Linked DNA regions of Nothobranchius furzeri. The protein of the gene in region 2 purifies or fractionates together with the protein of the main gene of each other region. This does not show direct contact. Links are inferred from orthologs where the notes say so. Each region holds a gene or a part of one and is shown on either strand. Other genes may lie near its edges.

The links.
Region 1: the proteins of nop56 (region 2) and gnl3 purify together in Homo sapiens (affinity purification with mass spectrometry; 4 studies listed by BioGRID and IntAct, with this or other methods). This does not show direct contact. The link is inferred for Nothobranchius furzeri from reciprocal best matches to the Homo sapiens genes NOP56 and GNL3.

What each region holds. Positions count from the first base shown.
Region 1 is NC_091743.1:51,872,990-51,878,829, forward strand, and holds the start of gnl3 (guanine nucleotide-binding protein-like 3), read right to left. Parts: upstream 3,732-5,840; 5' UTR 3,622-3,731; coding exon 3,609-3,621; intron 3,459-3,608; coding exon 3,400-3,458; intron 3,324-3,399; coding exon 3,183-3,323; intron 3,051-3,182; coding exon 2,928-3,050; intron 2,545-2,927; coding exon 2,464-2,544; intron 2,385-2,463; coding exon 2,252-2,384; intron 2,158-2,251; coding exon 2,054-2,157; intron 1,967-2,053; exon of another isoform or gene 1,844-1,966; intron 1,731-1,843; coding exon 1,580-1,730; intron 1,485-1,579; coding exon 1,397-1,484; intron 1,313-1,396; coding exon 1,135-1,312; intron 1,063-1,134; coding exon 920-1,062; intron 722-919; coding exon 585-721; intron 468-584; coding exon 340-467; intron 161-339; coding exon 91-160; intron 30-90; coding exon 1-29. UniProt on the Homo sapiens protein: May be required to maintain the proliferative capacity of stem cells. Stabilizes MDM2 by preventing its ubiquitination, and hence proteasomal degradation.
Region 2 is NC_091743.1:55,550,143-55,556,092, forward strand, and holds the start of nop56 (nucleolar protein 56), read left to right. Parts: upstream 1-1,970; 5' UTR 1,971-2,110; coding exon 2,111-2,113; intron 2,114-2,577; exon of another isoform or gene 2,578-2,699; coding exon 2,700-2,789; intron 2,790-2,863; coding exon 2,864-2,978; intron 2,979-3,213; coding exon 3,214-3,378; intron 3,379-3,617; coding exon 3,618-3,816; intron 3,817-4,166; coding exon 4,167-4,354; intron 4,355-4,402; exon of another isoform or gene 4,403-4,521; intron 4,522-4,593; coding exon 4,594-4,745; intron 4,746-4,943; coding exon 4,944-5,044; intron 5,045-5,458; coding exon 5,459-5,607; intron 5,608-5,793; coding exon 5,794-5,915; intron 5,916-5,948; exon of another isoform or gene 5,949-5,950. UniProt on the Homo sapiens protein: Involved in the early to middle stages of 60S ribosomal subunit biogenesis. Required for the biogenesis of box C/D snoRNAs such U3, U8 and U14 snoRNAs. Part of the small subunit (SSU) processome, first precursor of the small eukaryotic ribosomal subunit.

The DNA of each region.
Region 1 (5,840 bases), about 3.7 Mb from region 2:
GGGGACGGGCTGAAATTTCACCCGTTTCTCTGCAAACAAAAGGCAGAAAATCAGTTTATTTATTAAGGAAACTGTATTCTACAAACGTACCTTTGTGTGAAGTTTTCTGGGGGTTCTCAAGCGGCTGCGCTTCAGGCGAGTCCTGGTGAGGTTGTTCAAGCTGCAACAACAACAGACGATTCATCCTCCTCATTTCCGTCACGCACCCAGTTACAGGAGCCCCACTAACTCAGCCGGATCAGAGTTGGATTAGAAGTCTTCACTAACAAATCAAGACTAACAGTTTGTCCTCATTTCCAGGAGATTTTAAGCAGCTGAACAGTTAAAACATGTTTTCACCTCTACATCCTTGTTCTGCTCTGCAGCTATGGGTTGATCTTCAGACACCTCGGCCACACTCAGCAGACCAGCTGTTGGGCCTGTAGAGTGAAAACTTATGCTGCTGGCCAGGTTTGGAAACTTAACACCTTCATAGGAAATAAACAGAAACACAGAAAGGATCAGAAGAAGCTTCTGGCGCTCATATAACTCATAATAACTGAAAATGCTGCCTAAGAATTTGGAGAGGAAAAAGCCACTGATACCTTTCAGCGTTTCCTCATTTCCCGCTTTTATCCTGCTGAGATCCCAGCCGCTGAACATTTTAGCCACCACGGTGTCAGACACGTAAGTGGGGGGGCTGTGGTTGCCCGGAACCTTACAGTGGTAGCTTAGTTTGGCTCTGAGGAGACACCAAACGATAGTTCTGGGATTAAAAGTCAAGACAGAAGCCAAATCTGTGACACAGCGTAGCTGCAGCCAGCGTTCGGATCAGAGTTGGATTACAAGTCTTCAAAATCAAATCCAGATGTGCGTTTTGTCTTCATGTCCACACCGACATCCTGCTCATCCCCACAAAGCATAAATAAAAAACCCTCACCCCGTCCAGTCGTCAAGGAAAGTGCTAGCCGCCTGCTCCGTATTAGGAACGCCACCCTTCTGCAGGAACCCTCGTTTCTTAGCCAACTGAGTCAAAAACTCCAGGGAATTTTTGAAGTCTGGAACGTTGTACTGAAGCATGATCTACAAGAAACAACTACGTCACAACAGGCACCAAAATCAGCCCAAGCCTGCTGAAGTGAGAGCGCTTCCCACCTGGCTACTGTTGCACTCCTTCAGCAGCGTCCTGACAGCATCAAGCTTGCTCAGGTGACCATCCTCCACCTGCAGGCTCCTCAGAGTCATGGAAACGGCAGGATTCGACAGTGACGCCACAATCCCTGGGCTGTCCATCACCTTCAGATTCCTTAGGATGTGCACGTCCTGCATATGTCTGACCGGCAGAAAGAAAATGTAATACACAATGGGGAAAGAACACATTTTATAAACACATACAATCTAATTTCCTTTTACTTACTTCGTAGTGCCTCTGACAGTCCCAACATTACACGCCAGCATTCCTTTCAAGCTGTTAATGAGGCTGCTCTTCCCTACATTAGGAAAACCTGCAAGAGGAGGAAAAATCAGATGATCTCAAACTCTGAACAAACACCAAAACTTGCAGAAAACATGAAGATGAGATAAAATACAACCGACTCACCGACTACACCAACTTTGAGAGCAGCTTCACTTTGTCTCTCAGCAGCTAAACTGGTCAGAATCTCAATGAGACAAGAGTTTCCAAAACAGGCTGCTCCTCTGGACTTGTCCAGGACATCATTGGAGGGTTTAAATCTGCTCTTTTTGGCTTGCTGGTAAACAAAAAACAGGATTAAATGAAATCTGCGTCTAAAAAGCAGCCTAAGCTTGCACCTACAGGCACTTTTATTACAAGATAATCTTCTAATTCTATTTTAATGATCCACAAACGCACACATCAGCCCCGCTTCCATCAGAGTGACATAAATGTGCAGTTTGTTAATTACTCTTGGAGGCGTAACCTGTTACAACAGCATGGTGCAAGCTGTTCAACCTTCTCAGTCCTCCGTCGTCAGTAAAACTAAACATTTGCACATTTTCGCCGGGATTTAAAAAAAACAAAAACAATCTTTAGCATTTAAAAAGCACCTCTTACCACAGTTTTGTGTTGGATCTGCGTCGATGCTTTGAATGCCACAACAGGAAGCTCTTTTTGCAAACACTCCATCCACGCCTCCACGTTCTCCTTTGGAACCAAATCTGCAAATGAGAAGGTGAAAAATACAGAAAACCTCACCACAAACAGAAAACTTGTACGGACTTCAACAGCTGCAGGTTAGCGGTGTCCACTTGCCTATTTTGTTTAAAACTAGAAGTAATTTCTTGTTGCCCGAGAGCAGCACAGCCTCCTCCAGCTGTGGACACCTGCAGCCCAACGGATCTCGAGCATCAAGGACTTCTATCACTACATCAGCGGCATCAATTGTCTACAACAGATTTTAAAAAATCAACCCTTAATAAACAAATTTACTTCCTTGTAAAATGAATTGAATGAAGTTATTTTACCTTTTTTATTTGAGAGCAGAGAAAATGTTTCGAGTTCTTGTTTTGAGTTACTTGTTTCTCTGAACGATTTGATGTTTTATCCTGAATAAATAAAATAAAAGACAGACATGTTGGTCAAGAATGATGAAGCATAAAATAAAAAATAAAACCCTGTTAAACCCATTGTAATAGTTTATAAACTTGGGGTTTCCAGCCTGAAATCCTTACTCCCGTGTTTCTAAATGAGTTTAGGAGCCATCTACTCTTGTGCAAATCTAAGTTTTTACTGAACCTAAAAGAATTGTTGGCAAAAGTATGCACAGAGTTCACAAATCCCAGTGGTTTGTGAATTTGAGAGCACTGATTAGATTATCTAAGAGTTTAAAACTGAGAAAACTCATTTTCAAAGAGCTCCACTTCATTTTCTCAGCCGACATTAGTCAGATTTTGTTTTTAAGAACCAGTTGGATCAGATGGCCCTTTACCACTCGCGTCTTCTTGGCATCAGGTTCTGATTCTGTAGTTGCAGCAGCCTCCTTCTCCTTTTTCCTTTTCTGGGCTCGCTCCACTTTTTTGGCTTGTCGTTTTCTTTCATTTTCTTCTTCAATCTAAAAATAAAAACTCCTTAAGGCTCAGAGGACAAAGACCATTGTAAGCAGTGCAAAGATCCCTTAAGCATCAGCCTTTAGAAGCTCTCTGTAGATAAAATGTGATGATGCCTAAGAGAGTGAAGGACCTACCTGGAGCCTCCTCTGCTCTGCCTCTCTGAGGACCTCCTCCTTGAAAGGAGCACTGTTGGGAACTCCGAGATCTTTCTTCACCGGTTTTTTAACTCCTTTCTTCTTAGCTTCTTTTCTAAGTTTTTTGTGATGCTCTCGAACCTAAGTCAGACCACCAAGTGAATCTCAATTACCACAGGGGCCTTTCATAGTAAGTAAAAATGACGACACCACTTGCCTTTTTCTGTATTTTGTAACGTTTGGAACAAGACATCCGTTTGCTCGCTTTCTTTAACTCTGAAGGAAGACATCAGACAGCGTTAGCTTAGAGGACAACAACAGAAGCTGCTGTTCGCTAAACCGCGTACAAATGGTAAAGAACTAACATATAAACGCTCATAAAACAAATATTTACACGCCTAAACCTTAATTAACAACTAAACTTACTTGGTCGCCTCATGATGAACCGCTGAGACCGACAACGTGACTATTGCAGTGTCGCACGTGGAAGTCTATCTAGGCAGGTCAGATGTTTAATTTCCGGTTTTTCTACCAGAAAGTTTCGCCACCTGCTGGTGGGGAGGTGTATTACAACCTTAGCTTTTTTTTTACAGGCACTTCCATGTATGATAGTTGATTATAAAGTACAGTCAAACTAATAAAACTTGGAATAACCAGTTTTATAACTCACCTGAAAATATGACCATCATTATTTTTATGCAGTTTTAAACCAGGATATCCCATGATATGAACATCAGATCAAGATGGCACACTATTAAAAATTACCAGCTAAATATTTAACATTCACATGAGAATGCACAAGATAATACAAGTTTTATTCCAAAGGTCAGTTGTTTAAATCCATCAACAGCTGCTGCATTATTCAGTCACTTAATTCTTCAGAAGAGCTTCCAACACTCTCAAAAGCAGGGTTAGTTGTAGGGGGGTTCAGGGTGGGCCAGTCAGAGACCCTGACAGCAAATCTGGGCCACCCTGCTGAGGTATATAAACCTGAGGTATACATTAGTTTTAGCTTAACTCTGATCTATTCTAGTTAAAAGGTCACCCCATCCATCCATTTTTGGCTGCTTATCTGGGGTTGGGTCGCGGGGGCAGTGGCCTAAGTATGGAGGTCCAGACTTCCCTTTCCCCAGCCACTTGGGCCAGCTCCTCCAGGGGGATCCTAAGGAGTTTCCTGGCCAGCCGTGAGACCAGCGTGTCCTGAGTCTTCCTTTAGGCCTTCTCCCAGTTGGACTTGTCTGGAAAACCTCATCAGGAAGGCATCCAGGAGGCATCCTGACCAGATGTTTGAGCCACCTCAACTGGTTCCTCTCGATGTGGAGGAGCAGCGGGTCTACTCTGAGCCCCTCCCAGATGACTGAGGTTTTCACCCTATCTCCAAGGGAAAGCCCAGCCACCCTGTGGAGAAAACTCATTTCGGCCGCTTGTATCCATGATCTTGTTCTTTCAGTCACTACCCAAAGCTCATGACCATAGGTGAGGGTAGTAACGTAGATTGACCGGTAAATTGAGAGCTTTGACTTCCGCCTCTCTCTTCACCACGACAGATCGGTACAGCGCCCACATCACTGCAGACGCGGCACCAATCTGCCTATCAATCTCACTCTCCATTTTTCCCTCACTTATGAACAAGACACAGAGATCCTTTAACTTGAGGCAGGACCTTGTCTCTACCCTTTTCCGATTTAAGACCATGGTCTCAGATTTAGAGGAGCTGATTCTTATCCCAGCCACTTCACACTCGGCTGCAAACCGCTCCAGCGCACGCTGGAGATCACTGTCCAATGAAGCAAACAGGACCACATCATCAGCAAAAACACAGAGACCTGATCCTTAAGCCACCAAAACAGATCCCTTCAACACCTTGGCTGCACCTAGAAATCCTGTCCATAAAAGTTATGAACAGAATCGCTGATGTAACGTCCAGCAATGGTCAGTTTTCACCTAAAAACTGACCTACATGCCACCGGTCACCGGCAGACATAAATTCCATTCTCTAAGGTGGATTTTACATTCTACCTTCCAACAAGCAACAAGGTTCTGCAAACCTTGTTGACATTTCAGGAGGAACACGATGTCAGCCTGTGTTCCCAAACAAAGCCTTCTTCTGATAACACTGCAGGATTCCTCATGCCTCTGAATAAAGTGACTATTTTCAGCTCATATGAGTTAATCAATCGTGAAATGGAATGAACAAATGTCATATGAAATGATCAATAATCTTTTGATTAATCTGTGCTTGAATTACTGAAGTTTGAAATGAATATTATTATGGTATGATTAGTAATTGTAGATTTAACAAGTGAATCATTATCCACACTCAGACACAAGGTTCATTAGAGATAAATTAAAGTTCAGTTAAACATCATAACACATAGATATTTTCTTAGCCACAAATCAGAACATCCTGTATCTGAAAGAAGGCGTGATGTTCTGAGGGTTGCTTGTTAACACCCCTTAACATGGCACGTCCCAGTTGGCCAATAAATCATAATATGAGAATATTAGAACAGAGCTCACTAGATGGTGAGTCAGTTCTAGAGAAAGCTACGGACAGGCCATCCAAAGCGAACCCTCTTTAACCCAAAGCTTTCGACAAGCTAAAAGCTGCCTACAGCTGACACAGCAAAATGGTTCCTTCAGCTATTCAGAAACAGC
Region 2 (5,950 bases):
CCCTTCCTGATTTCTTATTCTTTTGCATGTTTGTCACACAAAATGTTTCTGATCATCAAACACATTTAACCATTAGTCAAAGATAACACAAGTAAACACAAAATGCAGTTTTGAAATGATGGTTTTTATTACTTAGGGAGAGAACAAAATCCAAACCTACATTGCCCTGTGTGAAAAGTAATTGCCCCCTGAACCTAATAACTGGTTGGGCCTCCCTTAGTAGCAATAACTGCAATCAAGCTTTTGCGATAACTTGCTACGAGTCTTTTACAGCGCTCTGGAGGAATTTTGGCCCACTCATCTTTGCAGAATTGTTGTAATTCAGCTTTATTTGAGGGTTTTCTAGCATGAACCGCCTTTTCAATCAATCAATCAATCAATCAATTAGACTTTATTGTTACTAAGGTAGCGCGACTCATGTTCCGAATGATCGCAGTCACCAATTCTTGTCATGTGTCTTACCCATGTATGTCTGATCTTTGAATTGTGTGCACTGAAACTCAATTTCGTTTCTCTGTATGTCCTGCACATGTAGTAGAAATGACAATAAAATGACTTTGAATTTGACTTCAGCCATATACGGTTTGTACACAGTGAGGCGAAACAACGTTCCTCCAGGACCAAGGCGCTACATGCAACATAAATTTACAACATAAAAATAACAGGGAGATCACACTATCTAAGGACAGAACAGACTGACCTAACATGACATGTCCTCTCTAAGTAGGTAGTACAAAGGAAAAAAAGAAAAACCGTAAACTTATTTAGTATGTAGGTAGAATCATACAATATTCATACATGGAGTAAAAAATAAAAACCACAATGCACAAACATAAACAACGTTGCACCATTTGGCTCCGGAGTGGCCGCTGCGTGCTACTGCCGCCGCCGCCATTGTCGTCTTGTCATTTTTAAGGTCATGTAGTAGCATCTCAATCGGATTCAGGTCAGGACTTTGACTAGGCCACTCCAAAGTCTTCATTTTGTTGTTCTTCAGCCATTCAGAGCATTGTTTTGTTTATTTTTCTTCTCTGTATTTTTATTTATATCTTTTCCTTCTCTCTCTCTCTCTCTCTCTCTCTCTCTCTCTTTTGCTATATTGTTTGATGTGTACGTGCTGTTAGTCAATAACGTTGTATATTAATCCAAAATGTTCAGGAATGTTTTTGTAAGATCTTAAAAGCAGAAATAAAAAAAAATAATAAAAAAAATTTGAATTATGGAACTTAATGCAGGGCGGGCATGAAAAAGACAAACCAGTTCCTCTTTCTTTATCCTTTTCATTGAGTCACAGAATGGGCAGTGATGAAGAAGAAAGTTGAAAAGAGGATTGCTATATCATTTTAATTGTGAGTCACACTAAGCAGTTGTAAAGTGAAAATGAAAATGCATTTCTGCAAATGCATTTTCATTTTCAGATTTGTCATTTCAAATTGAATTTTGTTACACATTTGCTGGCGTGTTATTTGAAAACTAGTTCTCAAATGCCTTTTTCTTTATCATTTTTCATGAAGTCATAGAATAAGCAATGATGAATAAGAAACTTAAAAAGCAGTTTTGAGAAATGCTTTTTCATTTTGATTGTGAATCACACTATGCAGTTGTGTTGTGAATATGAAATAGCATTTCTTCTAATGCAGTTTAATTTTCAAATTTGACATTTCAAATTTAATTTTGTTACATTTTTGCTGGAGTGTTATTTAAAAATTAAATCTTAAATGTGTTTTTCTTTATTCTTTTCATTAAGTCACAGAATAAGCAATGATGAAGAAGAAAGTTAAAAAGCAGAGGATTGCTTGTTAATTTTATTTATGAGTCAAATTTGGCAGTGGTAATATGAAAATGAAATATCATTTCTGCTACTGCATAATATTATTTCTGTAACACATACGCTTCCATATTAATTAGCCTGAGACGCCAATTAAACTTCAGTGTGATTGATTATAAGCAGATTTTGCAGATGTGAGGTCTGCAGCAGTTTCAGATCTCGCGGTGATAGGAAGATAACGCGGTACTTGGGGCACGCTCCAGCTCAGTGAAACGTCTTTCTCGAAAGGTAAAGCAGAACTAGCAGACACGCGGCGCGTGCTGCTGCAGAGATTTAACAAACATGGTAAGAAACGGTAATCTAACTATCCAAACCTTGCTCCAAAGTTTTCTTCGTTACTGTTAGTTACTCTTTTATACTAGTGAACTTTTAAAAAGACATTGTTAGTTTTAGAGGCGTTACTAAAGTCACGTCGAAGGCCTGCTAGCATCAGAGGAGCAGGAAACCGTCTTTGGTTGACGTTAGTGGGAATATTATTATATTTCACGGTTAAATGTTTGAACAGAAATCACACACCTGAATAAGTTGGTCGTATTCAAGAGGATTGCAACTGAATTTTACTGTCTAAAAGCAACACGTTTTTGCTAGGCTGTTAGCACGCTAGGTTATTAGCGCGCTCACGTGGGCCCGGGTCAACACGTGGGTTCTTCAAGGCGACGTGGTTACGGGTAAATAGTTGTGTTAGTTTGTTGAACTTTAAAAGTGGACACGTAAAGTGAACACAGGACAGTAAGCTGAATGCAACATACCTAAATTAGGGCTGCCTCCTGGTGACCACGTGCAGTCTAGTGTTAACACTTCCGTCGAGCAGGAAGCTTCCCTCCGACGCCTTAAGTTGTGTCAAACCCTGTTTCTGATTTATCTTGTGCAGGTTGTGCTCCGTGTGTTGTTCGAGCACGCGGCGGGCTACGCGCTGTTCGCCGTCAGAGAGGTGGAGGAGATCGGAATGCTGCTGCCACAGGTGAGTGCAGGATTTATCAAACCCCAGATTCTCGCCTGCCGGAGCTGAGATCGCTCACTGTTTATGTCTGACAGGTAGAGGAGAGCGTGCTAAGCGTCGCAAAGTTCAACAGCATAGTGAACCTGGCCGCCTTCTTCCCCTTTAAGTCGGCCCAGACAGCCTTGGAGAATATGAACGCGATTTCTGAAGGTTAGTGTTCAGTTTTTGTCTCACTGAGATTAAATCATCCTCAGTAGTAATGATGTGTTATAATCTGTCAATCCACTGAGTTAATATGATGACAGCCTAATGTGAACTCTGAACATCTGAGGATCTCCATGTGGTCTGGATTAAGCCTCCAGTTGTTAACCCAACTTCTGTTTATGTGGATTAAATAAATTACCTTAAAAATATTTATATGGTAATTATGATTATTTGTTTGTAGGTGTGGTTCATGCAGATCTCAAGCTGTTTTTGGAGACAAACCTACCCCAATCAGCAAAAAAGAAGGCTGTTTTGGGAGTTTCTGATGCCAAAATTGGAGCTGCTCTTCAAGAAGAATTTAATATTTCCATCCAGACTGGTGGCGTGGTGGCTGAAATAACAAGAGGTGAGAATTAAGTTTTATTAATGGCTCGATCTAAGAAGCCATAACAATCAGGTCACTTACAGATGGATTTTGACTTCACGTCTTCTGAACATTTCAAAGCTGTTGTGATGTGATCTTGTGATCCTGATGCTCATGAAGGCTCATACTGAAAATCTGAACAGCCATCAAAAAACAGCATTCTTTCACTATTCCCTCCCAGTACGAACTAACACACCTAGCCATTTCTCTGATTCAAACAGGCCTGCGTTTGCACTTCCACTCATTGGTGAAGGGTCTGACTGCCCAGGCCGCATCCAAGGCACAGCTGGGTCTCGGTCACAGCTACTCCAGAGCTAAAGTCAAATTTAACGTCAACAGGGCTGACAACATGATCATCCAGTCCATCGCTCTGTTGGATCAGCTCGACAAAGACATCAACACATTCTCTATGCGTGTCCGGTAGGATTCTGATCTGAAGGTTTATATTTGATCATATGTGGGGTATACTGGTTAGAATCTGTAAGAAATGTTTCTGCTGAGCGTTTCAGCTCATTTTTCTTTAATTTCATAAGTGAAATGTTTTCTTGAGCACTCCTCCTAATGCTTACCACAGGCAGCGTACCACAGAGAGCTGTCTGTATAGAAACAGGAGGTACAGGAACCTCTCCTAACGCTTGTGCTGTGCTAGCTTTAGTCTAGTAGGGCAACACTGTTGGGTGAGACAGGTTGTATTGAGATTTGTCACAATCACCAAAAACCCTAAGCTTGTACCACCTGTTTTTACACAAGGGTTTTGGTTTTATTTCCAGTGAGTGGTATGGTTACCACTTTCCAGAGCTGATTAAGATTGTCCCTGAAAACTCCATGTACTGTCGCCTGGCGCAGCTGATTGGTAACAGAAAGGAGCTGTCTGAGGAGAGTTTGGAGAGCCTGGAGGAAGTGGTGATGGACAGCACCAAGGCCCAGGCCATCCTGGATGCATCTCGCTCCTCAATGGGTGAGTAACATGTGCTAATGTGTTCCTGCTTTAACTTGTGCCCCTTTTTTGCCCACCTGGACCTCTAAATGTCCTTGGTGTCTAACACAGGGGGGTAAAGAAACTCTCTCATAAACCTGTAGTGAAGGCACAAACCCTCACTGCGGATCCTGTCGGGAGAAACAAGCTCATGGTTCAGATAACCAAACAGAATCATGAATTTCCTTCTGCTCACCACTTCCGGGTTGTTTCTATTTTAGGTATGGACATCTCTCCCATCGACCTCATCAACATTGAGAGGTTTTCCAATCGTGTCGTTTCTCTGGCTGCTTATCGGCTGGGGCTGCAGGAGTACCTGCGCTCCAAGATGAGCCAGGTGGCACCAAACCTGGCGGCCTTAATCGGAGAAGTGGTGAGCACAAGTTTATTTAATCTAGTTTTATGTGGACCAATGATGTCATGCCTAAATCTGTCAATCCACTGATTTGATGTGCTGAGAAACTCTTCTGGTGCTGATGGTCCCTGATGTGTGTAACTGGCATGCAGGGTAATGTAGATCTGCCAGTGGTGCTTGCCTGACTTCTTTTTTTTTTTTTTTTTTTGCTTTTAGGTTGGAGCTCGGCTGATTTCTCACGCCGGCAGTTTAACCAACCTGGCCAAGTACCCTGCATCCACGGTTCAGATCCTGGGAGCAGAAAAGGCTCTGTTCAGGTACTTGGGCGCCCCCCTCCCTGCTGGGGAAACTTGTGGTTGCAGTGATGGCAGGGCTGGGCTGGAGCAGAGCAGGGTGACTGGAGAGGGCTGAAGCCTTGTCTGGAGTGATCCCTCTTGCTCTAATGCACCCCCACAGTCTGAGCACCCACTCACAGCACAGAGGTAGAAAACCGATGAAATCCCTGTTTTAAATGAATCCGTACTTTGTCGGTGGTGACCGCTAGCTTTGAGAGAAAATGAACACCGATGCTGTCAACTGTAGTCAAGATTCAGTGTCAATGAACGAGCTGACCTGTAACAGTGGTGTAGAAGAATCCACTAGAGGGCGCTCATCTGGCTGATGTTAGACATGTAGCCGTGTTATTTAACTGTTCCTGATCTGAATGTGAAAGAAGTTCTGTTTTCAAACAGAGCCTTGAAGACTCGGGGCAACACCCCAAAGTACGGTCTGATTTTCCACTCAACATTCATTGGGCGTGCAGCCGCCAAGAACAAAGGCCGCATCTCCAGGTATCTGGCCAACAAGTGCACCATCGCCTCAAGAATCGACTGTTTTTCTGGTGAGTGGAGCTGCTGGGGCAGGACCAAAGCTTTCTGTCTGATTTGCAATGATGCTCATATTTTTCGTCAACAGCATTCATCCTTCGGGTTGATGTTGAGATAATGTTTTCTGAGCAAGGCTGTCTCGAGTTGGCTCTATTGTGGTCGTCTGCTGGTTTTTCATGGTGTGCATTTTGTTATTGCAGAGGTGCCAACGTGTGTGTTTGGTGACAAGCTGCGTGAACAGGTGGAAGAGCGACTGACGTTCTATGAGACGGGTGAAGTACCGAGGAAGAACGTGGATGTCATGCAGGAGGCTATGAAAGAGGTAAGATGGTGGGACAGAAAAATAGTTTCTTACTG